7 linked regions of the Neurospora crassa OR74A genome follow. The protein of the gene in region 1 interacts with the protein of each later gene in a pairwise test. Links are inferred from orthologs where the notes say so. Each region holds a gene or a part of one and is shown in the gene's direction. Other genes may lie near its edges. The genes, in order: NCU06994, NCU00664, NCU02572, NCU08036, NCU02717, NCU03799 and NCU01184.

The links.
Region 2: the proteins of NCU06994 (region 1) and NCU00664 interact in binary tests that used the Schizosaccharomyces pombe proteins (3 or more experiments, as listed by UniProt). The link is inferred for Neurospora crassa OR74A from reciprocal best matches to the Schizosaccharomyces pombe genes cdc5 and cwf12.
Region 3: the proteins of NCU06994 (region 1) and NCU02572 interact in binary tests that used the Schizosaccharomyces pombe proteins (3 or more experiments, as listed by UniProt). The link is inferred for Neurospora crassa OR74A from reciprocal best matches to the Schizosaccharomyces pombe genes cdc5 and cwf10.
Region 4: the proteins of NCU06994 (region 1) and NCU08036 interact in binary tests that used the Schizosaccharomyces pombe proteins (3 or more experiments, as listed by UniProt). The link is inferred for Neurospora crassa OR74A from reciprocal best matches to the Schizosaccharomyces pombe genes cdc5 and cwf3.
Region 5: the proteins of NCU06994 (region 1) and NCU02717 interact in binary tests that used the Schizosaccharomyces pombe proteins (3 or more experiments, as listed by UniProt). The link is inferred for Neurospora crassa OR74A from reciprocal best matches to the Schizosaccharomyces pombe genes cdc5 and cwf4.
Region 6: the proteins of NCU06994 (region 1) and NCU03799 interact in binary tests that used the Schizosaccharomyces pombe proteins (3 or more experiments, as listed by UniProt). The link is inferred for Neurospora crassa OR74A from reciprocal best matches to the Schizosaccharomyces pombe genes cdc5 and prp45.
Region 7: the proteins of NCU06994 (region 1) and NCU01184 interact in binary tests that used the Schizosaccharomyces pombe proteins (3 or more experiments, as listed by UniProt). The link is inferred for Neurospora crassa OR74A from reciprocal best matches to the Schizosaccharomyces pombe genes cdc5 and cwf2.

What each region holds. Positions count from the first base shown.
Region 1 is NC_026504.1:4,815,494-4,819,645, forward strand, and holds the start of NCU06994 (pre-mRNA-splicing factor cef-1), read left to right. Parts: upstream 1-1,352; 5' UTR 1,353-1,515; coding exon 1,516-3,516; intron 3,517-3,583; coding exon 3,584-3,922; 3' UTR 3,923-4,152. Other genes in the region: NCU06993 (Ash2-trithorax family protein), read right to left, coding at 1-169, 247-701. UniProt on the Schizosaccharomyces pombe protein: Involved in mRNA splicing and cell cycle control.
Region 2 is NC_026501.1:7,640,706-7,644,726, reverse strand, and holds the start of NCU00664 (pre-mRNA-splicing factor isy-1), read left to right. Parts: upstream 1-1,221; 5' UTR 1,222-1,442; coding exon 1,443-1,445; intron 1,446-1,523; coding exon 1,524-2,240; 3' UTR 2,241-2,660; coding exon of another isoform or gene 2,661-4,021. Other genes in the region: NCU00665 (Ser/Thr protein phosphatase), read right to left, coding at 2,661-4,021.
Region 3 is NC_026501.1:2,767,260-2,771,327, forward strand, and holds the start of NCU02572 (U5 small nuclear ribonucleoprotein component), read left to right. Parts: upstream 1-1,268; 5' UTR 1,269-1,477; coding exon 1,478-1,515; intron 1,516-1,675; coding exon 1,676-3,941; intron 3,942-4,059; coding exon 4,060-4,068. Other genes in the region: NCU02571 (acetyl-CoA acetyltransferase), read right to left, coding at 1-100, 195-270, 345-394, 496-563. UniProt on the Schizosaccharomyces pombe protein: Component of the U5 snRNP complex required for pre-mRNA splicing. Binds GTP.
Region 4 is NC_026504.1:3,977,313-3,981,380, forward strand, and holds the start of NCU08036 (pre-mRNA-splicing factor syf-1), read left to right. Parts: upstream 1-1,268; 5' UTR 1,269-1,574; coding exon 1,575-1,625; intron 1,626-1,703; coding exon 1,704-1,874; intron 1,875-1,929; coding exon 1,930-4,068. Other genes in the region: vma-8 (vacuolar ATPase subunit D), read right to left, coding at 55-439, 511-521, 603-715, 797-811. UniProt on the Schizosaccharomyces pombe protein: Involved in pre-mRNA splicing and cell cycle progression.
Region 5 is NC_026501.1:3,300,054-3,304,067, forward strand, and holds NCU02717 (pre-mRNA-splicing factor clf-1), read left to right. Parts: upstream 1-1,214; 5' UTR 1,215-1,313; coding exon 1,314-1,632; intron 1,633-1,709; coding exon 1,710-3,478; 3' UTR 3,479-3,682; downstream 3,683-4,014. Other genes in the region: NCU02716 (pre-mRNA splicing factor), read right to left, coding at 1-217, 320-667. UniProt on the Schizosaccharomyces pombe protein: Involved in pre-mRNA splicing and cell cycle progression. Required for the spliceosome assembly and initiation of the DNA replication.
Region 6 is NC_026505.1:2,453,753-2,457,853, reverse strand, and holds NCU03799 (pre-mRNA splicing factor prp45), read left to right. Parts: upstream 1-1,344; 5' UTR 1,345-1,458; coding exon 1,459-1,599; intron 1,600-1,682; coding exon 1,683-2,184; intron 2,185-2,239; coding exon 2,240-2,365; intron 2,366-2,416; coding exon 2,417-3,357; 3' UTR 3,358-3,601; downstream 3,602-4,101. Other genes in the region: NCU03800 (endosomal cargo receptor), read left to right, coding at 45-233, 299-565, 632-655; tim22 (mitochondrial import inner membrane translocase subunit tim-22), read right to left, coding at 4,055-4,101. UniProt on the Schizosaccharomyces pombe protein: Involved in pre-mRNA splicing.
Region 7 is NC_026505.1:3,161,409-3,165,459, forward strand, and holds NCU01184 (pre-mRNA splicing factor cwc2), read left to right. Parts: upstream 1-1,251; 5' UTR 1,252-1,441; coding exon 1,442-2,134; intron 2,135-2,197; coding exon 2,198-2,752; 3' UTR 2,753-3,021; downstream 3,022-4,051. Other genes in the region: NCU01183 (GTP-binding protein 1), read right to left, coding at 70-501, 561-585, 649-663, 730-758, 839-867; NCU01185 (urease accessory protein UreF), read right to left, coding at 3,022-3,920, 4,026-4,051. UniProt on the Schizosaccharomyces pombe protein: Involved in the first step of pre-mRNA splicing. Required for cell growth and cell cycle control. Plays a role in the levels of the U1, U4, U5 and U6 snRNAs and the maintenance of the U4/U6 snRNA complex.

The sequences.
Region 1 (4,152 bases):
GGTGGTGACATGACGACCCTGTCGGTCAAAGTATACGTGGGAGGCAGAGTCCTCGAAGGCCATGTGGGCAGCGTACGGCTCGGTCTCGGTCTGGCGATAGTAGAACATGGAAGGAAACGTTGGGTCGGCTATACAGTGAGTGTAATGGAACGCTCGCTTGTTGAAGACACTGTAGGAAAAAGGCAAATCAGAATATGCTCCGCATGAATGGAGAATGGCGAAGGAGCAAATATAGATAAGACATACTGTTCGGTTGCATCAAAGAATTCGATGGTCTCGCCCTCGGGCCCTTGAACCTCATGATGGCTGGTGAAGACGGGACCGCGCGCGGGCTCGAAATCAGTAAGTTTGGGCGGAGCGAGCTTATAGCGCGCGGGGAGCAATTCGTTGATCAAGGGCTCTTTGTGTTGCTGCTTCGGGTCTGGAGTTGCTCTAGAACTATCGGAACCGCCTGCTGCTGCCTTGGCCTCCCTCTTCTTGAAGGAGTCCTTCTTTGTTCTCTTTTCGCGGTTTAGAACGGCTGCTTGCTGGGTGTCTTCGGGTGCCTGTATTTGGACTCTTGGAGCGGCCTTGTTATCTGGGTTTAGGGGTGATGGAACTGCTGGACTGTGGTCGTCTTCGAGCGTGCGCTTCTGAGGGATCGTCGTGGCAGCTCCGGAAGGTGTTTGCTCCCTTCGGGGAGAGCCTACGTCGCTGGCCATATGTAGCTCGGCAGACGTCGTGCTAGCAGTAACGTTGACAAATATTTAACTAAGTGATTAGTTTTGCTTTCGCAAGCTGTCCTTGTCCTGAAGTCGACTTGTGTTTGGACTCGAACGGCGAGCACTCCAAGTCCAAAGTAGGTACCGACGGGAGCTCTTCTGATCGACGACAGCTTATGGATGCTAAGAATAATCTGAGAATTGCCCGATGGTGATCCTACGGGTAAATGCTTTGGTACTCGGAGAAGACGCGTACTTTTGGAGAGCGCAATTGGGTTAAAGAGTCCAGTTTCGGAGCGATTTGATGTTCTTTCTGGGGATTTCTGTAAAGAGTTGAGAAATGTAAGAGGAAAGAAAGACATGTGAACCAGAAATGGTGGATGGAAGCTTCATCCACTCGACCAACAGCAGCAGCGTGTCGCGACAAAAGGGCGGGGCATCCTTCTGTTAGTGGTTAACGGCAGGCAGGGGTCCCGGAGCTTGGCTCGCTTGTTAGTTACCACATGCATGGGACACAAAAATGCTAACAGCGCGGGAACCTGTTGCCTGCCGCAAAAAGGTCTTGAGGTTGGCTAGCGCTTGACAGTTGATACTGGGAAAGACGCCAAGGCAGTTGCGTCGCGGGTGATTCCATTGTTCGCCTTGACGCCAGCGCTTTGAATTTCTGGATTTCTTCCCCATCAACACAACAACATTTCAACACTTTCAATTCCAATTCCAAGACAACCCCAACCCCGAGTGTCCTCCCACCTACCGGAACGACTCCCGCATCACTACAACGCCCGACGAGTATCCATAACGGCCGAGCGACAAGATGCCCGTCGTCAAGGGAGGTGTGTGGACCAACATCGAGGATGAAATCCTCAAGGCGTCGGTCAGCAAGTACGGCCTGAACCAGTGGGCCCGCGTCTCGTCGCTGCTGGCCCGCAAGACGCCCAAGCAGTGCAAGGCAAGATGGAACGAATGGCTGGATCCCAGCATCAAGAAGATCGAATGGAGCAAGGAGGAGGATGAGAAGCTGCTGCACCTCGCCAAGCTGATGCCGACCCAATGGCGTACCATTGCCCCCATCGTTGGAAGAACCGCAAACCAGTGCCTGGAAAGATACCAAAGACTTCTCGACGAAGCTGAGCAGAGGGAGGCGTCCGCTCTTGGGCTGACGGGCCCTGATGGAGGCGAAGCTCACGCGCCCAGCGCCGACGATGTTCGCAAACTACGTCCTGGCGAGGTCGACCCCGATCCGGAGACGAAACCCGCCCGTCCCGACACCATCGATCTCGATGAAGATGAGAAAGAAATGTTGAGCGAGGCTCGCGCGCGTCTGGCCAACACACAGGGTAAAAAGGCCAAGCGAAAGGCCCGTGAGCGACAGCAGGAGGAGTCACGCCGACTGGCCGCTCTCCAGAAGCGTCGCGAGTTGAAGACAGCCGGTATCAACATCAAGGTTACGACAAAGAAGCAGGGCCAGATGGACTACAATGCCGATATTCCATTCGAAAAGAAGCCTGTTCCCGGATTCTATGACACCACCGAGGAGATGTCTCGCAACGAGTACCAGCGCGCCCATTTCGACCCCAAGAAGCAGCAGGTTGGGAACAAGCGCAAGGGTGAAGAGGACGAGAGAGACGGCAAGAGGAGAAAGGGCGACAAGGACCCATCTGTGCAAGCCGCCCTCAAGGCCGGTCAACTGCAGAAGATGCGCGAGGCAGAACAGAGCAGCAAGCGGAGGGCTTTGGTCCTGCCAGCACCTCAGGTCGGCGAAGGCGAGTTGGAGGAAATTGTGAAGATGGGCATGATTGGCGAACGGGCAAATATGCTGGCTCGCGAAAGCGACAACGACGCAACTCGTGGCCTGATCAACAACTACTCGACACTCAACACCAATGCGCCAATCCGAACACCGATGGCCCCCGCTCAGGAAGACCACATCGCAAACGAGATCCGCAACATCCGAGCACTAACAGAGACGCAATCCTCGCTGCTCGGTGGAGAGAACACACCTCTACACCAGGGGGTGGGCTCTACCGGCTTCGAGTCGGTTGCGCCGCGGAAGCAGGTCATGTCAACCCCTAACCCCTTAGCCACCCCTTTGCGGGCAGCTGGAGCTGGTCCTGGCGCCACGCCCCTCCGCGTCGGCCAAACACCACTGCGCACTCCCCGTGATACATTTGCTCTCAATGATGCCGGTGACGAAATGTCCATGGTGGGCGGCACACCCCGAGATGTTAAGATGCGCGAGATGTCTATTCGGCACCAGCTCAAGCAAGGCCTCGCGTCTCTTCCCAAGCCCAAAGAGACCGAGTGGGAGCTCGAGCTGCCGGACGATCAGCAAGAGCCCAAGACCGCTGAGCAGCTGGAGGAGGATGCTGCTGAACGTGATCGACGAGAAAGGGAGATCAGGGAGGCGCGAGAGCTGTTGGAGCGCAAGAGACGTACCCAGGTCATGCAGCGGGATCTGCCTCGGCCTGTCCAAGTCGATTATCAGTCACTCTTGAAGGAAGCCTCGCAGGCCGAGGACCCTGTCAAGGTTCTCATCGCTCGTGAAGCGGCCTTGCTCGTAGCTCATGATGCCACCAAGTATCCTCTACCGGGAGCTCAGCCAACTGGCCGGGCACTGGAGATCCAGAAAATCGACGACGCCGCGTTGCAAGAGGCCAAGCTTCAGGTTCTGATGGAAATCAAGGATAAACCAAAGCCGGAAGAAGTTCAAGCGGTGTGGGAAAAGAGCAACAGCAGCTCCCTTTTGCTTGGGCTGGGATGCTATGAGGACGATGAAGAAGAAGAGCAGATTTCCACTATGCAAATTGCGCTTGAGGTATGTACAACTAACCCCTTTTCTGCCTCCTGCCTTCCGAAGGCTTACTGGCTAACCTAACCTGCAGGAGGTCATTGACCAAATCGTCGCCTCGGCAGAGAAGGGCAACAAGCTCGAGAAGAAGCTCAACCTGCATCTTGGCGGTTACAAGAATCGGGCTGAAATGCTGCGGAAGAAGATCAGTGAGGCTCACGAGGCGTTGGAGAAGGCGAACAACGCTCTGGGCGCTTTCAAGGTCCTCCAGTCCTCGGAGCAGGCCGCTATTCGGAACCGGCTGGCGGCGCTGCGTGAGGAGGTGGGCTTTGTGAGCACGAGGGAGAGAGAGGCGCAGGAGTTATACAGGAGGACGAGGGAAGAGCTGGATGCTTTGACGCTCAACGGGCCGAAGGCCAATGGGTTCCGCTGAATGATGTGTTGGAAGAGTGTGGTCAGGTTGTGAATAATTGAGTGTTGGTTAAACTCTGGCATGGCATGGTATGTCTGGCAACTGTCTGTGGAATGGCCACTGACGTCGAGCAGCTCAAAATAAGAAGCATTGAACATTATTATGTACTTGGAGGACGTCTCTCGATGCACCGTGTGAATATGTATAGTACGATGACCAACCTCCCTCTCAATATCAGTGAATTCTTCTCC
Region 2 (4,021 bases), on another chromosome or scaffold:
ACTTTCCCAGCCAGGCATTGCGGCGGCAATGGTAGTGCTTGGTGCGCGGTGCGCGTCCCAAGTACTCCAAGTTGTGGAAAGGACAGCCACACTAACTAACACTTGTTCTTCATCCAGACACCTGCAAAGATGATTCTGCCGCTCTGGACCAAGGCTGACTGATAACCTCGACAGCTAGCAGAACGTATCTCACATGATGCCCGTCTTGGAAAACCAAAACGGGACATCCAGCCTTGCGGCAACCAAGCCCCGATCCTTCCATAGGGTAAGGGGTTCGTAACTTCTGGTTAAGAACCACTCCATGGGTAGGATTCGGCGATTTATAAGGCTGGCTGTGAGACGTTCATGCTGGGTAGACGGTCGAGGCTACAGCCGGACCAGGTCCAGAGCAGAGGACCAGGTGTACACATGTCCGGATGGGGGTGCATGTGAACTGATGAGGAAAGGAGGAGGGGAAATGTAAAAGTATGGTGGAAGTAGTGCAGAAAGTTGTGGGGTACGAGTTGTTGAAGAGGCCTGCTCAGATATCCGTTCTTGTTGGGCTTTCATCTTCTGCCAGATGGTTCGTCGACTCCTCGAAGAGGAAAGATGCCCCTATCGGTGGAATCAAGACACCCTGAATTGTGATGGTCTTCTTCACTGCAGGGCCCCAGGAGTAGATGAAAGAAGTGGCAATGGAACTAGAAAGTGGTAAGTGAGTTCGTGATAGGTAGCTGAAGGTATTGGCTTGAGGAGGGGTGGTTGTGATTCGAAGAGGGTTCGTTGCCAGGCGCTGATAGATTGAGGCTGCAAAAATGAAAGGTCAAAAGCATGAAAGAAAAAATGGAAGTATAGAAAAGGATGGTGATAGAGTGTTGGCTCGCTTCATAGGTAGACCTCGGTTCGCATGCTCATTCAAGAAGAGCGATGTGCATCCTCGGGCATCGCCAGACGTGAAAGGAGCTACTCAGCTGGAAGCCGAACCAAACCGAGCCTCTCAAGTTTGCAGTGACTTCCAGAGCCGCGCGATACTGCGGCAATAAAATAGAATCCCGCGTTCTGAGGATGGCTGTAGATTTTCGTCGTTCGAATGGTAAAGTTCAAGGTGTAGAGGTAATCAATCTGGTGACTTGTTGGATGCAGGTTGAGATTCAGGACGGACGCGTTCGAATTGCGGCGCCCCGTAATCATCTGCAGTGGAGCTCGGGCCACAATCACAGAAACGCCACACCACCAAACAAACGAGGCATCACAGCCTTGCAGCCTTCTGTCTTGTACCAGTACATCATCTTCGAATTTCCGGCAATACGTAAAATCCACGGCTGGCCACAGTTAGACTTTCCACTGCGCCTTCAATCCCCAGCCGATCCTACTTGCCTCGTCTCAGGAGCAAGCTTAGGTTATCAATCACAATACCCTTCCACGCCTAATTTCCCCCGCGCAACCCATAATCACCATCCAAAATGGTATGTTCCTGATTAATCCCACTGTTCGACTCTTCTATCGGTCTGTACAATCCGTGTACTAACAATGTCCCAACCCAGGCACGCAACTCCGAAAAAGCCCAGTCGATGCTCTTCCGCTTTCGCGAAGCGCAAGCCGCCGACCTGGGCATCATCGACGCCGGGCGCACGCGCCGCCCGCGCTCCATCACCGAGCAAGACAGCATTCCCGCATGCGAAAAGTGGCGAGGCCAAGTCCTCAAGGAAATCTCCCGCAAGGTGTCCCGCATCCAAGACCCAGCCCTATCCGACTACCAGATCCGCGACCTCAACGATGAGATCAACAAGCTCATGAGAGAAAAACACATGTGGGAGGTGCAGATCCGCAACCTGGGCGGACCGAACTACATGCGCTCGGGAGGGAAAGTGTACGACGAAGCCGGGCGGGAGATCCCTGGTGGAGGGAGGGGGTACAAGTACTTTGGCAGGGCGAGAGAGTTACCCGGTGTGAAGGAGCTGTTTGAGGCGGCGGCGAGGGCGAAGCAGGATGATGAGAAACCATTGGAGACGAGAGATGATTTAAGGAAACAAGTGGATGCGGCGTATTACGGGTATGCGCCGGACGAGGAGGACGAGAAGCTGTTGGCGTATGAGGCGGCAAGGGAGAGGCAGGCGTTTGAGAACCTGGCGAAGGCGGCGGCGGGATTGGAGCCGCCTCCCGGATGGGAACCGTTGCCGGAGTGGGAGCTTCCTACGATGGACGAGGTTGCGCAGGAGCTTATTGACAGGAGGAGGCGGAGGCTGTTGGATCAGTTGTAGCCTGGCGATGACTGAAATGATTTGTAATTGGGTCTGTGGGAAGAGGAGAAGGGGGCACATGTCGGTTGCGCGGGCATGGTGATGGTTCGTTTTGTAGCATTTACACGGATACGGCGCGGCGTTCAAGGCGCAGAGTAATGGGATACATGATACTTTGGCGGGTTCGACAACCAGGTTCAGCTCAAGTGCTGGGTTTATATTCGTTTTGCGCACAGTACTCGCTATGTTACCATTGTTATTTACAGTCTGAAATCATTATCCCGTTCATAATTCATATTTGATCCCTCAATCCAGCCAGGTCATCAAGAAATAGACGCCAATGTAACACATCCCGTACCGCATGACCGAGCCCCGTCTCAGGCCGCCGTGCCTTCAGTTTCCCGTGCCAGCGAGATTATATGAACAACATGGCTGTTGTGCCTAACAGTTAGCAGGCCAGTTCTCCTTAATCCAGCCCGCCATCAATTCCGTAAAGGTCCCATTGACATATCTCTTGGCATCATCATTAGTGTAGTCGCCTCCGGAGATCTTCAGCGCAACCATGACCCATGGTTGAATGAAATCAAAGAACACGAGATCAACCTTTTCAGGCTTCTCGCCCTCCTCCTTGGGCGAGAACCCAACTTCGGCCTGGATGCAGTTAGGCACGACATAGAAGTTAATGGCAGAGTGGATAGCATCATCGCCATCGTCACCAATATCATCCTTTGTCGTATAGCCTTCGATCAAAACGGGCTCCTTCTTAGAGGCGCCATCACCCGACAGGGGCTTTTGCCCGTCCACAAGACCCTCAGTCGCGAAGGAAGGCATTGGCTTCTCATGAATAATGTCCTGTGTGATGGCAAACTGCTCCGGGATGGCCATAAATCGAGCATCCATAGGAGCATGCTCCTCCATGATCCGCCCAGCGTTGTTGAGTAAGCCGATAACTTTACTGGCAACCTCGTAAGGGACGTCGGGGATGTAGTTGAGGACGCTGAGGAAGGGCGAGATGATATACGTTGTATCTCTGGTAAATTTGCCCTTGAAGACATCGAAGCGGATGGCACCGGTGTTCATGATAACCAGACGAGGGACATCTTTCCTGTCGTCGTTGATGGCGATCTCTGGAAGAACCTCCTTCTCGAGCCACGTGTAGATGCTGTCCTCGGAGGGATAGGGCGCCCTCGTCATCCACAGGTTCTTTGGTGCACAGCCGAACGTGTAGTCCAGATCGAGATCCTTGCGGGCCTGGGCGATCATTTGTGATACATTTCGGCCGTGGTCTGTAGGAAATGTGGACTTGTTCAACCCGGTGTGATAGTAGAGGCCCAGTAGGTTGTTGTCGATGTACCTACGGTGGAACGAGAATTCCGCGGCCTCAGTCGAAGGCGGCTCGTCGTCATTGACAGCAGCAGCGACGACATCTTTGGTTGTCCTCTTCAGGTCACCGTCCACCGACATCCAGCCGATCGTTTCAAAGTAACGGCCGCTGGCGATAGCGAACGATCTGGAGTCATACGCCGTCGCGTCACGCACGTGCACATGGCCGCCGAAGAACAGGATGGGCGTTAATCGATTCTGCTTACGAATGGCTGTAAAGATCTCCTTGAACTCGGGCATCTTCACGCCGACGTGACCAATCACCACAAACACATCGGGGTTCTCCCGGATGGCGTCCTGGAACCATTGCTCCTTGATGGTCTCCCTCACGGGCTGTACCACTGTGTTATTGGCATTTCCGGTAAAGTCGAAAAGAAAACCCATGGCGACAATAGTCAGCTTCTGGTTCTTGGTCTGGA
Region 3 (4,068 bases), on another chromosome or scaffold:
CTTCATGCCGGAAGCGCACACCTTGTTGACGGTGGTGGCAACCACCTTGTTCGAGAGACCGGCCTTCAGGGCGCACTGGCGGGCAGGAGCCTGACCGACACTGAGGATAAAGACATGTGGTTAGTATTGTGCTGTTCCAGGGTCGAGTCGCGGCGGCGCGTTCGCTGCGCACAAAGGAATCTATGGCTACGTACCCAGCAGAGAGGACATTGCCAAAGAAGACCTCCTCAACATCCTCGGCCTTGATTTCGGGAACGCGGTCAACGGCAGCTAGAAACAGGAGTGGTTAGCTAAGGACACGTTTCATCTAATACTCCTCTCGAAACCGGTTCTAACCGACGTACACTTGATGGCATGGGCACCGAGCTGAACAGCAGAGAGGCTGGAAAGCTGACTACAAGTTCAGAGATATCAGCAACGCGAAGTTCACGCTTCGTCCCTCCTGTATCGTTCTGACAACAGCTCCAGGTCAGCCGACATGGCGGGGTAGCTTACCCAAGGAAGGACCCCACAGGGGTTCTGGCGGCAGAAACGATGTAGACGGAGGGAAGACCGGTAGACATGATGGCTAGTTTGGAAGCTTGGAGTTGAGGAAAAAGACGGGTTTTGGAATTAAAGATTATGGAATGAAAGCGGGTGAAGCCAGGTAAGAACAGTGAAGATGTGGGAAGCGTTGTTCTAATAAAGCTCAGCCCGTGACTACCAGGATTGTCTTTTGGACGCGGGACAGGATAGGGGAAATTGTTGAGACGACGGGGACCTTGTAGCTGTCACCTCAGGTCTTCTCACCGCCTTCAACGCGAGGTCTTATCAGTCTTTATCCGGAAAAGTGCCGATCTTCAGGAATAAGAGAAATGGACCCTCGCAGACTTTGACAAAGTGGTGTGAGGTGTCCGATGCCGGCGGCAACTGGCTCTCTTCCCATGATACCTCTTGAACCCGTCTTTATAGACTAGGATGTGGCAGCTTGGGCAAGGGGCAGTTGTGGGGGTTTATGGAGTGTTAGAACCCTGAGGGGCACCGCGATGGCCTGGATGGTTTCTGACGTGGTCCGCTGCGGGAATCTGCTTGCATGTCTGCCGTGGACCCGTGGTGCCATCATTGCGAGCAAAGATTTTATCAGATGATCTGATAATGTTGAGCAGTAGATCTGCGCACCAGCCACTTCCTGTGGTCGATGCCGAAGCTAGCGCCACATTGCTAAAACACTAGTCTCTACCATTTAAATGAAGTCTGCCATTTTTTCATTAGTTGCAAGGGACCTCCAAGTTTAGCGCTACACGGTTGAAGCTTGGTCCACTGCGCGCCGCGGCGAGAGTTCACTGGTTGACATCAGCCTTGCGCAAAGACAGCGACGAAAATCCAGCAAACGTTCCAGTCAAGATCTCTGAACTCCCATTGCTCAACAACGCGACAGCTACCCTTTTCGAGACAAAGCGGCTTTGGAGTAACGCTCAATTATCATCGACGATACACGATGGACGACGATTTGTACGACGAGTTCGGAAACTTCATGTACGTATCATGCTATCTCCATGACGTCGTCACGTTGCAGAAGGATGGTCTGTCTGGGCTGTGTTTTGGTCAAGACTCCATCGTCTTTTTGAGGCTAATGTCCAATCTTGCTTACTTTATGATGCTCTCTCCTTCGGCGGTGCTAACCATTGATTCGTAGCGGAGATGCTGAAGCCTCCGAGGAAGAGTCTGAACATGGTGTCGACGCTGGAAACTACGTTTACGATGATTACCCAGAGGAAGCCCCAGAAGCTCCGGCTCAGGAGATGATGGAAGTTGACGATGAAGGCCCCTCCAACGCCGTTGTTCTCCACGAAGACAAGCAGTACTACCCGACAGCCGCACAGGTCTATGGCGAGGGCGTCGAAATTTTGGTTCAAGAGGAGGATGCGCAACCGTTAACACAGCCGATCATCGCCCCTGTCGAGCAAAAAAAGTTCAGCATCGAAGAAGCAGACCTACCTCCCGTATACTTTGACCGCACGTTCATGGCCGATCTCATGAACTTCCCCGAACAAATCCGTAACGTGGCTTTTGCTGGACATCTACACCACGGAAAGACAGCATTCATGGATATGTTGGTGTTAGAGACGCACGACATTGCGGACAAACTTGAGAAGCGAACGGGAAAGAAGCGCGACGAGCAGCTGCGGTACACAGACATTCACATCCTCGAGCGGGAACGTGGGTTATCCATCAAGGCTTCGCCCATGAGCCTGGTCCTCCAAGGAACAAAAGGAAAATCACATCTCTTCAACATGATCGATACGCCAGGTCATGTGGACTTTGTTGACGAAGTTGCGGCTTCGCTCAGGCTTGTGGATGGTGTCTGTTTGGTGGTCGATGTCGTGGAGGGGGTTCAGGTCAACACAGAACAGATCATCAAGCACGCCGTTTTGGAGAACATCCCACTCACCCTCATTGTCAACAAGATGGACCGGTTAATTCTCGAGCTCAAGTTGCCGCCAAACGATGCCTATTACAAACTTAAGCATGTGATCGAAGAAGTCAACACTGTCATTGAGAACACAATTCCAGGCCGAGGTGAGGAGAGGAGGTTAAGTCCAGAGAGAGGAAATGTTCTGTTTGCCTGCACGTCCATGGGCTGGTGTTTCACTCTTCAGTCATTCGCCAAGATGTACTCGGACACGTATGGTGGTGTCAACTCGGAAGAGTTTGCGAGGCGCCTCTGGGGAGACATCTACTTTAACCCGCAAAAGCGAAGTTTCACAAGGAAACCCATCGAAGAAGGAGCTAAGAGGTCCTTTGTCAACTTCATCATGGAGCCGATTTACAAGTTGTACTCGCATACGATTAGCGAAAGTCCGGAAGAACTGAAGGGTACCTTGAAAAAGTTGGGCATTCAGCTCAAGCCATCGCAGTACAAGACTGACCCCAAGGTCTTGTTGAAATTGGTTTGCGAGCAGTTCTTTGGGCCATCTACCGGGTTCGTAGACATGGTCTGTCAGCATATCCCATCGCCGGCTGAGGCTGCAAAGCAAAAGCTCGAACAGTACTACACAGGCCCTCTGGACAGCAAGGTTGCTGAGTCTATGCTGAACTGCGACCAAAATGGCCCGCTTGTGTTGTATGTGTCCAAGCTGTTCAGTGCTCCCGATGCGAAGAGCTTCTATTCGTTTGGCCGTGTGATGAGCGGTATTGCGCGCCCTGGCACAGAGGTCCGCGTGCTTGGCGAGGGTTATTCTATCGACGACGAAGAAGATATGGCCATGGGGAGGATATCCGATGTCTTCATTGCCGAAACACGATACAACATCCCAACCGACGGCGTGCCCGCTGGTAACTGGGTTCTGTTGGGCGGCGTGGACAACTCGATCGTGAAGACTGCCACTATTGTGGAGAAGAAATTTGAGGATGATGAGGACGCCTACATCTTCAAACCTATTTCGCACTTCACCCAGTCCGTCGTTAAGGTTGCTGTCGAGCCCATCAATCCGTCTGAACTACCCAAGATGCTTGACGGCATCAGGAAAATCAACAAGAGCTACCCCCTCATTACCACCAAGGTAGAGGAATCGGGAGAGCATATTATTGTTGGTACTGGCGAGCTATACATGGACTGCGTGTTGCATGACCTACGTCGTCTATATGCCGATATGGAGATCAGGGTATCGGATCCTGTGGTTCGATTCTGCGAGACGGTACAGGACATGTCCGCAACCAAATGCTACGCCATTACCCCCAATAAGAAGAACACCATTACAATGGTGGCGGAGCCATTGGAGGATGGTATCGCGCAGGACATTGAGTCCGGAGCGGTCAGGATTCGGGATCCTGTACGAAAGATCGCCAAATTTTTCGAGGAGAAGTATGGCTGGGATCTCCTTGCAGCCAGGAGTATCTGGGCTTTCGGTCCAGACGAGATGGGACCCAACATCTTGCAGGATGACACCTTACCATCAGAGGTCAGTTGCGAGTTCCTTTCCCATGCTCGGGACACCAGTTGCCGTTCTACCCAGGTTTTTGCGGTGATCGTCGAAACCGGGCCGTCTCTTACTTCCGGGCTACTAACACGATGAACAGGTTGACAAG
Region 4 (4,068 bases), about 840 kb from region 1:
GTGTTAGTGTCCCCCATTCTATCTTGCAGGGAAGACAGGTTTGGTTCGCCTTACATCGCATTGACTCTCCGGTTGACGACCTTGATGACCTCATCAAGGATAACGAACGCCGTCTGCAGACTAGCCAGCTCTACCAAGGCCTCCACCGCTCTGGCGTACGTCTCACGACACCGCTGTACCTGCTGACCACCCTTACCCAGACCTGTCATGGCGAAGTCGTCGTTGCCCTCGGCCTGGTAGGCTTCGAAGGCGGGAAGTAGCACACCCGAGACGTTCTCCTGCTTGGCCCGGATGCGGAATCGCGCCGACTTGGCCGACTCTTGGATCTGGTATCCAATGTTGCCGCCGACGGCGTAGGTGACTTCGGCGAGGGAGAGCGAAGCGATCTGCATGACGCGGCCCATCTTGCGCTTGGCTTCGTCAATTCGGCGGGTAATCTCTGTGAGGAGACAGGTGTGTTAGAGTGTCTACATTTCGCGGATATCTGGTGTGTGCGAGAGTGGCTAGTACCTCTGAAACGCCTGTTGAGTGAAATCAATATGTCAGTATCAAGCTCTGTGTAAAGGTATGGATGGACATGGGCCGGGAGGGGAACAACGAACTTGGTGAGAGCTTCACTTTTTCTCTTGAGCAAGCTGTGACCCGTCTCGGCGCCCTTGAGTTTGGCCTTCATAATACCCAAGGACTGCCGTGTGGGGAAGACGGCCTCGCGATCCTATCACCACCACTCATTGTCAGTCAACGCCATGGACCCGGTTGTAGTAATTGCGGGGGAGCAGCTAGGATAGGCTCATACCGCAGCTCCAGACATGTTTGCGATCCGGCAATGGCCAAGGTATACTCGAGGTAGGGTATAAGACTAAGGCGACGGTAGGTCCTGGGGGCAGTAAATGATGGTTCGAGGAGTCGTGATGCTATTCCATGCGACAACGACAGATGATAGGTACTCTAGGTTCGATATCGACTTGGAGGAGGGACGGCCCGGCCGTGGTTGGTGGAGCTCGATGTTAGGTTGGAGCTTGGATGTGAGGTTGAGACGGCCGCCGCCCACTGCAAGTCCGCCCTACGTAACAACTGGATCCAGGACCACCACCACCCAGAGCAGCAGCTGGAGGCCTTCGTCCCGGGGATGCGGCTGGCACCTGCTGCGGATCCTGCTGCCAAGATCTTGGAGGTTATCAGCAATTAACCCCACTGAAATTGGCTCTTGTTTAGCGGGACATCTGCCAAATGATCGCTCTAACTCCGTAAATGCCCCTGGAAGGCTACGGTGGTCTGAGCTTTCGCGAACTTCCACTTCCACTTCTGAACAAGGTTGAACTTCGAGACGTGCCGGGCTCCCAGGAAAAAAAGTATCACGGACAAAATACAGCGACAACAGCCAGCGAAAACGAAACGCCGTCGTCGTCCCCCCCATTCTTCGCATCTCGTTGAGAGGCTGGCCCAAAATCGTGGGAGAACGGCAGGAATGCCTCTAGGGATCTCTTGATCCTTGAACATCGATTTTACTCCTTCCTCCAGTGACGCCACTCCCGGTCTTCTTTCTGCAGTCCAACGCGGACCACCCCTTCGCCATGTCTATCCTTTCACGCGTCTCCGACCGTCGCCCAGACCTCTCTTTGGTCGTATGTGTTGCTCCCCTTCTTGTCCGGTCGTCTCTGCTACAGAAAGACAAACTGACGATCTGACCTGTGTACCGGTAGAGCGAGGAGGACTTTCCTTACGAACAAGACATCGTCCGTAACCCCGGCAGCACGAAGCCATGGCTTGCCTATATCGAGTACAAGCTTCAGAAAGGGACGGTCCAGGAGCAGGCATATATCATGGAGCGCGCCTGTGTGCAACTTCCTCGATCCTATAAGCTTTGGAAGATGGTAAGTACTGGAAACTTTCCCCAAAGTCCAACATGCCAACTGACTTGGTCGCCAGTACCTCCGGTTTAGGACGAAGCACGTTTCGAAGCTCAATGCCGCCATCTTTGCCTCGGAGTACCAAAAGGTCAACAGCCTCTTTGAGCGGGCCCTCATTCTCCTCAACAAGATGCCTAGGATATGGGAGATGTACCTCAAGTTTCTGATGCAGCAGCCGCTCGTGACACACACACGTCGCACCTTCGATCGGGCCCTTCGCGCTCTCCCCATCACGCAACACAATAGGATATGGGCTCTGTATCGACCCTTCGCCAACTCGGCCGAAGGCGAGACGGCGGTCAAGATCTGGCGCAGGTACATGCAGGTTCACCCAGAGGATGCCGAGGACTTCATCGAGTTGTTGGTGGCAGTGGGGCTATATACGGAAGCCGTGCACAAATACATCGAAATTCTCAACAACCCGCGGTTTACGAGCAAGAACAGCAAGGGACACTACGAACTGTGGAGCGAGATGGTAGATTTGTTGGTCGAGCATGCGACGGCGGTGGAAACGGGGCATGAGACGGGAATCGATGTCGAACGGATCATCCGCAGTGGTATCGAGCGGTTTGCCGACCAGAGGGGTAAGCTGTGGTGCGGCTTGGCGACCTATTGGATTCGACGAGGCAGCTTTGAACGCGCACGAGACGTTTTCGAGGAGGGTATCACAACCGTCATGACCGTTCGAGACTTCACCCTCGTCTTCGATTCGTACACGGAGTTTGAGGAGTCCATCATCAGCGCTCTGATGGAGATGGCATCGACCCGGGCTGAGAAGGGAGAGGTGGACGAGGTGGCTGATTTCGATTTGGATATCCGAATGATGCGGTTCGAGCATCTAATGGACCGCCGGCCCTTCCTCTTGAATGATGTCCTACTGAGGCAGAACCCGAACAATGTTACGGAATGGGAGAAGCGTGTGGCTCTATGGGGCGACAACAAGGAGGAAGTTGTCAAGACTTACCTTGATGCTATCGAAGCCATCCAACCAAAGAAGGCAGTGGGTGCGCTCCACCAGCTATGGACCAATTACGCCAAATTCTACGAGGCCGGAGGAGACCTTTCAAGTGCCCGAAGAATCATGGAGAAGGCTGTCAAGGTTCCTTACAAGTCCGTGGCAGAGTTGGCAGACATGTGGATTGAGTGGGCAGAGATGGAGCTTCGAAACGAGTGCTTCGACGAGGCCATGAAAGTCATGGCAAAGGCAGTACAGGCGCCCAAGAGATCCACGGTGGACTATTTCGACGAAACCCTATCACCACAACAAAGGGTTCACAAGAGCTGGAAGTTGTGGAGTTTCTATGTCGACCTTGTGGAAAGTGTCAGCTCGTTGGACGAGACCCGCAAGGTGTACGAGAGGATATTCGAGCTTCGCATCGCCACTCCTCAAACAGTAGTCAACTACGCCAACCTGCTGGAGGAGCACAAGTACTTTGAAGAGTCGTTTAAGATCTACGAGCGCGGTCTCGATCTCTTCAGCTACCCCGTGGCCTTCGAACTCTGGAACCTGTACCTCACCAAAGCCGTCGACCGCAAGATCAGTATCGAGCGCCTCCGCGATCTCTTTGAGCAAGCCGTCGAGGATTGCCCACCCAAATTCGCCAAGGTCATCTATCTCATGTATGGCAACCTCGAGGAGGAGCGCGGCCTCGCGCGCCACGCCATGCGCATCTACGAGCGGGCCACGCGCGCCGTCGCCGACGAGGACCGGGCCGACATGTTCAACTTCTACATCACCAAGTCGGCATCCAACTTCGGTCTGCCCTCGACGCGGCCCATCTACGAGCGCGCCATTGCGGCCTTACCCGACGCCGAGGCCCGCGACATGTGCCTCAAGTTCGCCGACATGGAGAAGCGGCTGGGCGAGATCGACCGCGCCCGTGCCATCTACGGTCACGCCTCGCAGTTTTGCGACCCGCGCACCAACCCGGGCTTCTGGACCAAGTGGGATCAGTTCGAGGTGCAACACGGCAACGAGGACACTTACAAGGAGATGCTCCGCATCAAGAGAAGCGTGCAGGCGCAGTACAACACGGATGTCAACTTTATTGCTTCGCAGGCGCTGGCGAGGAGTCAGCAGAAGAGGATGGAGGAGGAGGCAGCAGGAAACGGAGGAGGAGAGATGGACGCCGAGGTTGCGGATGCGATGGCGCAGTTG
Region 5 (4,014 bases), on another chromosome or scaffold:
CAACCTTGCAGTATTCGATTGGGTTCGGTAATAGCGACTCGAGTGCAGCAAATCTGGCGGAGAAGTGATCCCTCACAAACTTGTGGACAAGGGCCACCTCACTGTCTATCAGAGTAGACAGTCTGTTGGCGTTGGTCAAGAGGTTGTATTCCGGGTGATCTTCGACATGGCCGACGTCGTTGGCCTGAGCGGGTTGTGCTTGATAGTGTGCGATTTTCTGCAACGTTCGATCCAGACTGTCAGGGCTATTGCTCAAATAAGATGTAAACGCTTTTCCATGTTCAAAGGGAGCACCGCAAACGGGTATAAGGGAACTAACCTCGAGTACTGGCTTCAATGACTTCATAAGAGTCGCAACAGTTCGAACATCTCGCACTCCTCCCAGATGCATCTTCTCAACCTTGGCTTTTGCTTCCTCGGGATCTTCTACAGCATTCGAGTCGTCGGCGCCGACGCCACCCATAGCTTCGTCTTCGTCCTCGCCCTCCTCGTCGCCCATGCCTTCATCTTGATCCTCATCATTGATCGGTACATGTGCGTCGTCCACGCCGGAGCCTCCAGTCGTGTCAACGCCATCGCCTAGAAGACCATCGCCATACTCCTCGCCACCGGCCTCGGAGCCAGAGTCCTCAAAGTCCTGGAGGAGCTCGTCGAGAGTAGACGACATGTTGGCAAAACCCTGTTTCCTGGGCAGAATATTCGGCGACTGTTCGGGTCTCAAGGTGGTTAGATTCAGGAGTAAACGGGACAGTCGCTGATACAGGTACAACAGCTGCCGTGTGCCGAAGAAAGAATGGAAAAGAGTTCGATGTGTTGTCGACTTGTTTTGGTTTTGGGAAGAATGGAGGCAAGAGACCGCGGCGTTGCATCACGGCCTAGCGTACTGTACTGACCTCGTTGCGCCAGTGCTTTGCCTGCCGGTCGTACACAGTGCGGCTTGGTATGTCGCCGATAGCTGCCAGTGCAGTGAGTAGATAGTGTCAAGTAGGCGTAGTTCGCAGCCACACCCAATACAGCGGCCTTCCAGCGGCTCAGCGTCGTCTTATGGGCGAACCTGCTCGCTGAGGTCGGACATGTACTACCTATCAGATGTACAATGACATGATGAGCGAAAAGTGTCCATACCCACTGTGCAGCAAGGTTCAGTAAGTAGGCAGGGGCATCGAGCCACGGTCCATCAATCGCAGCGCGTCCTCAACTGAGTTCAGTGGCTGGCTGCTGTTGCGTCCAGACCCCAAAATCTCATTGAGAAACCGAACTTACAACACCACGCCAACATCTGCAGATCGCCACTTTTTACGCCCATCTTCACAATGGAGTCATCGCGCGGCCCGCCACGGGTGAAGAATAAAGCCCCTGCGCCTGTACAGATCTCGGCCGAGCAGCTGCTGCGCGAGGCCGTCGACCGCCAGGAAGTCAACCTCCAGACCCCGACACAGCGCTTTGCCGACCTCGAGGAGCTCAAGGAATACCAAGGTCGTAAGCGCAAGGAGTTTGAGGACTACGTGCGGCGTAACCGAGTTCGTCTATCGAACTGGCTCCAGTATGCTCAATGGGAGCTAGAACAGAAGGAGTTTGCGCGGGCTCGCTCTGTGTTCGAGCGCGCTCTGGATGTACATCCCAACAATACTCGTATGTTTGTCTAAACTCAAAGTGTCCATGTGCTGTTAAATGTGGCGCACATCAGTCGCTAACGATATGTCCAACAGAACTCTGGATCCGATACGTTCAAGCAGAGATCAAGAACCGTAACATCAACCATGCACGCAATCTGTTGGACCGCGCTGTCACGCGGCTGCCCAGAGTCACATCTCTCTGGTACCAGTATCTCTACGTTATGGAGATGCTCGGCGACATTCCGGGTACCAGACAAGTCTTCGACCGGTGGATGAAGTGGCAGCCAGATGAGCAGGCGTGGAGTGCTTATATCCGTCTAGAGAAACGTTACGGCGAGTTCGACAGGGCAAGGGAGATCTTCAGGGCCTTTACCGCCGTCCATCCGGAACCGAGGACGTGGCTCAAGTGGGCCAAGTTTGAAGAGGAATACGGGACCAGCGACACGGTCCGCGAGGTCTTCCAGACAGCTATCCAGACAATTGCCGAAACGCTAGGCGACGATGCCGTTGACGAGAGGATATTCATCGCCTTCGCCCGGTACGAGGCCCGTCTGCGTGAGTATGAGCGGGCCCGTGCCATCTACAAGTTTGGCCTCGACAACTTGCCTCGGTCCAAGTCGATGACGCTACATGCCCACTACACCACATTTGAAAAGCAGTTTGGCGACAAGGAGGGTGTGGAGGACGTCATTCTTACAAAGAGGAGGAGATTGTACGAGGAGCAAGTCAAGGAGAACGCAAAGAACTACGACGTCTGGTTTGACTTTGCGCGACTCGAGGAGAGCGGAGGAGATGTCGATCGGACCAGAGAAGTCTACGAGCGAGCCATTGCTCAAGTACCGCCAACCCAAGAGAAGCGACACTGGAGGCGGTACATTTTCCTCTTCCTCTTTTACGCGATATGGGAGGAGAGGGAAACAAAGGATATCGGGCGAGCCCGTCAGATCTACGACACCTGTCTGAACCTGATCCCCCACAAGAAGTTCACTTTTGCCAAAGTGTGGGTTGCCAAGGCGCACTTCGAGATCCGACAGGGCCAACTAACGACGGCCCGCAAAACCCTCGGCCGCGCCATCGGCATGTGCCCCAAAGACAAGATCTTCAAGGAGTACATCCTCCTCGAGCAGAAGCTCTACGAGTTCGAGCGCTGCCGCACCCTCTACGAAAAGCATGTCATGTACAACCCGGCCAACTGCCAAACATGGATCAAGTGGGCCGAGCTGGAACGTGGTCTCGACGATCTCGAGCGCACCCGCGCCATCTTCGAGCTCGCTGTCTCGCAGCCGATCCTGGACATGCCCGAGGTGGTATGGAAGGCGTACATCGATTTCGAGGAAGAAGAGGGCGAGTACGAGCGGACGCGTGCCCTGTACGAGCGCCTGCTCGAGAAGGCCGATCACCCCAAGGTCTGGATCAGTTACGCCCAGTTCGAGATCAACATACCCGACGAGGCCGAGGAGGAGGAAGAAACGGAGGAGGAGGTGGAAGAGAAGCCTGTTAGCGAAGAGGCCAAGGCACGTGCTCGCAAGATCTTTGAGAGGGCGCACAAGAGCATGAAGGAGCGCGAGCTCAAGGCCGAGCGTGTGTCGCTGCTCAACGCGTGGTTGGCGTTTGAGAAGACGCATGGGTCGGCGGAGGATATCGAAAAGATTCAGAAACAAATGCCTAGGAAGACCAAGAAGAAGCGTAAGCTGGAGGATGATACTTGGGAGGAATATGTCGATTATATCTTCCCGGCTGATGATCAGCAGACCAAGAACTTGTCGAGTCTGTTGGCCATGGCGAATGCTTGGAAACAGCAGGCCGCGGGGGGTGCTGGTGGCGCTGCTGTCGATGAAGCGGCTCAGGGAGGGAGCAGCTAGTGTAGGAGATGCAATGTTATATTAGGCCGCAGACCAAGAAGCCCATAAACTTTTCCCCCCGAATACAGTAACCGATATGGTGCGGATCTTTACTCCCACACATATATACCTCTTGAGTTGTTCTCGGTATTAAAGATCACATAAAAAGCCCAAACCACGATAGAAACCCCATACTTTGATGAAAGGTGTGAATTATATTTTAACCAACTGCTTGGTAGGTTGTTCCATATCCCGTACGATTAAATACGGCTTTGTACATGTTGGGATACTCTGAGGATATCAGGTCTTCCTCGGCCGTCGAATCTCATGGTGGTCTTGACGTCGATTTCCAGCACATTGTATTCGTGGGTCCAAAAAGTATCGTTTATCTCCATGAAAGAAACTGACTACCGGCCTTCTCTTTATACATATATCGTGAGAATTCGCAAAGAGGCATACATTGTTTATCATTGTCATTCTCTCAACCTCTCGGAATTGATCTGTTTCTTCATCATCCTCATAAAACCCAACCTGTTGACCATCATTATCATCATCAT
Region 6 (4,101 bases), on another chromosome or scaffold:
GACTGTCATGCGCCGGGACCGATGTGCTAACCTTGGCTGCGCAGGTACAATCAGGAGGCTCGTTCGATATCGACTATGAAGTGACCGGCCCCGATGGCAATGTGATTATGGATGGGCAGAAGGAACGCCAGGGCGACTTTGTCTTCACCGGCAAGCAGATCGGTGACTACAAGTTCTGCTTCAACAACGAGATGAGCACCTTCGCTGAGAAGTTCGTCGACTTCGAGCTTGCGGTCAGTACACCAGGCGCCCCCTTTTACTCCACCACCTACCACTTATACTGACTGTGAGGGTATAGGTCGAAGATGAGGCCCGCGTTACCATCCCTTCAAAGCAGGGTAGCTCCCCCGAACAGACCTCGGCTCTCGAGGAGTCTCTCTTCAAGATCTCGATGCAGCTTTCTACCGTCACCCGCAACCAAAAGTACTTCCGCACGCGCGAGAACCGCAACTTCAGCACAGTCAGGAGCACCGAGAAGCGAATTGTCAACTTCAGTTTGATTCAGATCTTGCTGGTCATTGCGATGGGTGCTCTACAGGTCTTTATCGTTAGATTCTTCTTCCAGGTAAGCTTCACATTTTGTCCAACTTTCCAGGCTGGCGTCAGGATGCTAATAGGATGGACGACACAGGGCGCACGGAAGGGTTATGTATAAATGTGTACTACTTTTATACTCCCAAGGAGTGAGATTGATTTGGTCTTGGCCGGGCGTAAGGCACAAAAACAGCACAGGTCTTGCTTGCATGGGGTGTATATCATATAATGATGGCTTACGAGTTGGCGACGGGTGGTCATGTCAACAACATGCCCCTGTGTCTTGGTTTTCGATCTACATGTATGACTGATGGATTTTTTTGGCGGCCAGTTATCACTAAAACATAATAGAAGTGCAAGCGTGCAATGACAATGGCACTGTGAATGTTCTCAGCAGGTCAAGTGTACAAGACTTGAGCGTACAGACCTGAGCTATTGCGAGCCAGGGACATGTCGTGAACTGGGCAATTTTACGGGAAACTTGGATCTGAACTTCATGCCAACATGACACTACCAGCGGTATACAAAAGAAAAGAGAGCCCGCTTTTGGTGTTTTGATGCCCCCTGAAAGCAGCAGCAAGTTAGACTACATTGTGTTCCTGTACATGTAGACTATACAAGTTTCCCTTCTGATAAGGAGACCGATAAGGATGCCCATGTCTCGTCTACTGTGCCGTAGCCCGTAGGTATGCCAGCGCCGCGGCTGCAGTGCTGGCTACAGGTACCTACGTATCTCCACTGGCTCTCCTCTGGCGCCACACTGGACCTTGAAGCGTCGCGCTTGAGCCACCTACCTACCATTGCTTGGAACTTCTTTTCATTGCAGGCAGTGATGTCGAAGTAAACGTCAACTGCCAAACCCCATCGCAACCGATTTTGCGACAATCAAGCATCACTTCAACAACCACTCATTGATCGACAATTATGGCTTCGATAGCAGCAGGCCTATCTCAGGCTCTTCCGAAGCCAAAATACAGCGGCGAATACGAAGAATCAAAGTCACAGCAACGCGGTCCCAGAATTGTCGGCGCCGGCCAAATTGACGAAACTCAAGTTGTGCTGAGGGTCAGTAACCGCACCCTCCACTATCCGCTTGCTTGCTTGCTTGCTTTCGAAAACCGGCTAATGCTAACATTCCGCTCTCCCAGAGAACCGGACCACCACCGTATGGAAATCGACAAGGTTGGCGACCGCGTGCACCAGAGGATTTCGGCGATGGCGGTGCCTTTCCAGAGATTCCCGTTGCTCAGTATCCCTGGGGCAAGGACGCCTCGAACAAGTCAAACGCGCTAGTTGTTCAGGTTGATGGAGAGGGCAAGGTCGACTACACAGCGATCGCACGACAGGGTCACAGCAGCGACCGGGTCATTCACGCGTCATTCAAGGATCTGATTCCATTGCGACAGAGGGCCGAAGCGGGCGATCTTGACTTGTCACGACCGAGCAAAGAGGAGGTGGAAGCAACGGCGGAGAGGACCAAGAATGCACTGGCTGCGCTGGTCAGCGGCGCCGTGGCGTCCCAGAAGCCCAAAAACATCAACATCAATACGAAGCGAGAGCCGACGTTTGTGCGCTACACGCCATCAGCGCAGATGGGAGACAACTCCAAGAAGCAAGACCGTATCATGAAGATTGTGGAGCGACAGAGAGGTATGGCATTCAAGACTTGAGCATTAGCTGTGGGCGGTAAACTAACAGTTGGCAGATCCCATGGAGCCACCCAAGTTCAAGCACAAGAAGATTCCCAGAGGACCCCCGACTCCTCCTCCTCCAGTTATGCACTCGCCTCCGAGGAAGTTGACGGCCGAGGATCAAGAAGCATGGAGAATCCGTAAGTCATCTATCTGTCTCACAAGGAGAGTGGTCTACTAACAAGCGATAGCACCTCCTATTTCCAACTGGAAGAACCCCAAGGGTTTCACTGTCCCGCTCGACAAGAGATTGGCCGCCGACGGCCGCGGTCTGCAAGACGTGCAAATCAACGACAAGTTCGCTCAGTTCTCCGAAGCCCTCTTCATGGCCGATAGACACGCTAGAGAGGAAGTCCGACAGAGAGCCATGATGCAGCAGAGGCTGGCAGAGAAGGAGAAGGCACAAAAGGAGGAACATCTGCGCCAACTTGCGCAGCAAGCCAGGGCGGAGCGCGCGGCTGGTGGACGGAGCAGGAGGTCACGATCCCGCTCTTACAGCGGTTCCGAATCTCGCTCCGAGAGCGATGACGACTCTGAGCGGGAGAGAAGGGAAGCGCGCAAGGAGAAACTTCGCGAGGAGGAGCGTAAACTCAGACAGTCGCGCATGGGTGCGGAGAGGAGAGCCCAGGTCATGGCCCGCGAGATGGACAGAGATATCTCGGAGAAGATCGCCCTCGGTCTCGCCAAGCCCACGCAGTCCAAGGAGGGCATGTATGACTCCCGCTTGTTCAACCAGTCTAGCGGTTTCGACAGCGGCTTCAACGAGGACAACCCGTACGACAAGCCTTTGTTTGCCGCCCAGGAAGCTATCAGCAGCATTTACAGGCCCCGTGCCAACGCGGAGGATTTCGACGACGAGGCGGCGGGCGAGAGCGAGATGGCGAGGATTTCGAAGTCGAACAGGTTCGGTGAGGCTCTGGGTCGTGGCACGTTCAAGGGTACGGCTGAGGCGGAGGCGAGGGAAGGGCCGGTGCAGTTCGAGAAGGACACGGGGGCGGACCCCTTCAACGTGGACAAGTTCCTCAACGAAGTGGAGAAGGACGGTGCTTCCTCGTCGAACAAACGCGGCTATGGGTTGAATGATGGAGAGAGGGACTCGAAACGAACGAGGATCGATGACGATGAGGACTAAGTCAGTGGCTCTAGGGTAATGAGAAGAGCCCATTGTGTTCTGTGATGTCCAATATTGGCTCGCGCTTTGTCGTACTGCATGTCAAGGAGTTTTGTTCACATGGGCGATTCAGACATAATGCAAGCGAAAAAGGATAAAGTACTTCGCCTAACCCCCGATCGAAGCCGAGATGATACATGTTTGAACTTGCTCTTTACATATTCCCGTCTTCACATGAAAACTTTACAATGCCATAACATGCTCAGCAACGAACAAAGAATGGAGATCTCTTCATCTATCCGTCCACGAAACCGAGTCCCCGAAATGCTAGGGGAGCGTAGATCTATCCTCGTCCAATGCCTATATGTTATCGTATTTGTACACGAAGGGAAAAAAGCATCTATGCCACCCCCGTTTTAACGCCGTTTCCCATATCCCAAGTCTTATGTCCATGCATACACACGCACGCACGCCCAGTCTGCCTGTTACCTGCTTTTCCAGGTCTCATCGCCGAAGACCTATCCGGTCATTCCCCTGGCTTCTTCAACACCAAACCCAGTAGTAGTACATCAAGCCAAACCAGACCAGACCGGACCGGACCGGACCAGGCAGATCAGACCAAAACGTTCGTCACGAACAGAATCTAACCCTCCTCCTTTTCTTACCTCTTCCACCTCTCCCACCTCTCCTCCTACTGTTCGTTCTCACCCCTCCTTCCTTAGTCCTCCTCACTAGGCATCCTCATCCAAGCATCAATAGCCGCAC
Region 7 (4,051 bases), on another chromosome or scaffold:
CTAGGCAAAGGGGGATTATATCGTTAGCGTCGGTAGAAAAGTAACATGGGAAGGGAAAAGGGGGCGTACGGTGGCTCCCGGTTGAGTCTGATGCCTACAGCCTCCAACTCGGCCTCGAGGAGGGCCCTCTGCTCAGCACGTTTTGTGGCGTCCAAAACCATAAGAATCAGATCGCTTGTCTTGGCGGCGGAAATGACCTGTCTTCCTCTACCCTTGCCCTCGGAGGCACCCTCGATGATACCGGGCAAATCGAGCAGCTGGATTTCGGCACCGCCATATTCGAGCACACCGGGAATGGCTGTCAGGGTCGTGAAAGCGTATGAGGCGACTTCGGACTTGGTCTTGGTGACCTTGGATAAGAACGTGGATTTACCGACTGACGGGAAGCCGACCAGTGCTATACGAGCATCACCACTTTTGCTGACGTCGAAACCGGCACCTGGACCGCCGCCCGAGCCCGGCCCTGGCTCGAGTAGTTGAGCGCGGAGACGAGCGAGCTTTCTGTGGATGGGCGTTAGTGAGAGTCAATATCAAGGATCGCTTGGTGTAGACTCACTTACCCCTTCAAGAGACCCAGATGATATTCTTAGTTTGGTTTCACCAGGTCAGCACATGAATGATGTTGGAGACAGGTGATAAAGAGCGTACCAGTTGCCTTGTTCTCTGTTAAAACTTATGTTAGCGTTCATGGCTTTCAGTCAATTTGTTTGCATAGGGACGTGGTCTTACTCTGGGTTTTCCTCATCTCCTCCTCAATCCTTGTATCTTATGGTCAGTTTGACTAACTCCATCAAGTCGAACACGCAGGCACCGTGGAAGCGTCAATGGTGCAGCTTACTCCTTGATCTTTTCCGTAATGTTCACCATCTTGGCGGTTTAGGACAGGTCTGTCCTTGGTATCGCTTTTACAAAAGAAACAAAGACTGAAGCGATATAACTCGAGGTAAACACCAGGCTGGCAAGCTGATGAGAAGTGAATCGGCCCTGAAAGTGAAATTCAAGGTTGATGAATTACACGCTGTAAGGAACAGTAATGTCAAACATATCAGTGCGCACCCCACGTTCCCAAGTGGCAGAATTTCCCGGACAGGAGGGGCAGCAGAAGTGGGTTTTGTCCTTCACCGCTTTTGGAAGACCCATAAAATCTGCGGGAGCGGAGTGGGTCTCTGTCAGCCAAGGTCGGCCCAGGCTTGGAAATTCTCCAAAAGTCCAACACCCCTGGAATCTCGGAAAAGAGTCTGTGCTCTGCGAGTTTGGCCTAGACAACAAATCGTAAACCAAATTCGGCGTCATTGTCTTTTTCCACTTGTCATCGCATTTGCAGCATACGTATCCGCTATCCTCTTTCTACCCTGGCAACAAGACGCGCAACCAAAGGCCAACTGAGTACCGATACTTGCTTTCGAACCAAATCACATCTGGAATCCCAATCCGACATACCATGGCCGAAGTCGATACCAGGCAAGAGGAGCCTGTCTCCGCCGTAATTGAACAAGCGCAAGCCGGAGAAGACGCGACAGACGCGCAGACACAGGAGCTTGCTCTCACCACAACGAACACCGAAGTCGCCGCCCCAACAGAGAAGAAGGTCAAAAAGATCATCCGGCGCAAGAAGAGACCGGCGCGACCTCAAATCGACCCGGCGCTAGTCAAATCCGAGCCGCCCCCGCAGACAGGAACAACGTTCAACATCTGGTACAATAAGTGGTCCGGTGGCGATCGCGAAGACAAATACCTATCCCAAACACACGCAAAGGGAAGATGTAATATCGCCTTGGACACTGGATACACGCGCGCCGACGGAGTAGCAGGATCGTTCTTTTGTCTGTTTTTTGCGAGGGGCGTCTGTCCCAAGGGCCAGGATTGCGAGTACCTCCATCGACTACCTACAATCCACGACATTTTCAACCCCAATGTGGACTGTTTTGGGCGCGACAAATTCAGCGACTATCGTGACGACATGGGCGGTGTGGGCAGCTTTAGCAGGCAAAACCGGACAATTTATATTGGTAGAATCCACGTGACGGAGGACATTGAGGAGATCGTGGCCCGTCACTTTGCCGAATGGGGCCAAATAGAAAGAATACGTGTGCTCAACACGAGAGGTGTGGCGTTCGTCACTTATTCAAATGAGGTAAGCCACGGTTGCTAGCATTTTGCTTGGATGTTGAACTCGGTACTAATTCGCTGGTTACAGGCAAACGCCCAATTCGCCAAGGAAGCAATGGCCCACCAGTCACTAGACCATAACGAGATTCTCAACGTTCGCTGGGCGACAGCGGATCCCAACCCCATGGCGCAGAAACGCGAGGCAAGACGCATCGAGGAGCAAGCCGCCGAAGCCATTCGACGGGCGCTGCCTGCCGCGTATGTTGCCGAGATCGAGGGCAAAGACCCAGAGGCGCGGAAACGGAGGAAGATCGAGAGCAGTTACGGCCTGGAAGGATACGAGGCGCCAGACGAGGTACACTTTGCCCGGGGAAAGAATGCGGTCAACCCAAGGGGTCGCGAAGGGTACGAGCTGGAGGATCAGCAACTGCTCATGCTCGAAGCTGGGGAGGCTGGAGGATGGGGACAGGAGCAGGAGGAAGAGGCATATCCTCAGGAACAACAACAGAGTTCCGGTGGGATCTTGTCTGGTAGCACGCTTGCTGCGCTACAGTCTGCTAGAGTTGCAGTTGCGGCAAAACCGAAAGCACCTGTCTCGGCGGGACCGCTGGTGGCTTATGGTAGTGACGATGACAGCGACTGAGACATAACTGGGAAGAAGTTATTTTGGTAATGATGATAAGAGAATGAGGCAGCAGGAGCCAGTGCATAGATGCCATTTTTGGCCTAGGAAATAATAAGATACCAAGTTAAGAGCGTTTGAACATGTGCCATACAGATTTGTGGCCATGCTTTGACTCCTCCGCCCCCTTTTCCAAGTAAACAAAAACCATTTCCCAATCACAATTCGCCCATGTACCCCTTTTCACCCTCAACTCCCGGTGCCGTCCCCCCAGTCCTCCCCTCCCCAACTCAACTGTTGAAAATCCTCGAATAAAGAACCTCATGCCTACCAATCCACAAATCCATAACCGGCACGCTCTGCCCCGCCTCCTCCACGCCTCTCTCCCACTCCCTCTTCATCAACGCCCCAATCATCTCCTGCACCTGCCTGCTCGCCAGCGTCTTCTGCGCCTGGTAGGGGCCAAACATGCCCGCCCTCACCGCCGCGCTCACCAGCGCCTTCACGTGGCTAAGTAAATAAACGTAAGCTGTCTGCTCGAGCGAGAGCCCGACGAGGGCGCAGATGGCGCCGAAGAGGGGCGGGAGGTGGGCGGAGACGGGTGGAGGGTCGTTCCACCCGCTACTTCTTCCTCCGCCCGATGTCGATGGATTGCTGCTGCTGCTGGTGGTGGTGGTGGTGGTGGAAGACGGTGGTGGCGCCCCTGCAGATCTAAGCAAAGCCGAGAAAGGCTTGAGAATTGCAGCCGCCGCTTCGGCAGAAGTAGACGAAGGCGGTAGCGACGAGGACAGAGAGCGGTCCCAGATGGAAAGCAGCGCTCGGCCCTGGGCGACCGATGCTCGACGGCCGACGGTGCAGACGATGGTTGCGTCGAGGGTGTCGTCTAGCAGGGCGAGCTGGGCTGGGTCGCGGTGGGCGGCGAGGACGTAGGGGAGCGTGGTGGACGCGTAGGAGGAGAGGGAGAGGGGGAGGAAAGAGGTGAAGGAGGGTGGTGGAAGTTTGGTTTTGGGTGGTTTGTTAGTGACAATTGATGTAGAATGCGAAGGGGAAGGAGAAGATTTGTTGTGGGCGAGGTAGGATTCGAGACCGCTGCTGAAGGCGAAGGATCCGAGAGGCAGCGCGGAGTCGGAAAGGAGGAGGAGGAAGTGGTTGGCTGTGGAGTGGAGGATGGTTTGGGACGGGGAGGGGACTGGAGGGTTTGTGTTAGTGAGGGTTTTGTGTTATGATGAGAGTCTTGATCGATGGAGTCGAGTACAAGAAAAGAAAGGGAAGGGTAGAACAAGGTGCAACTCACCTGGTATCACCCCAAGATTGGACTCT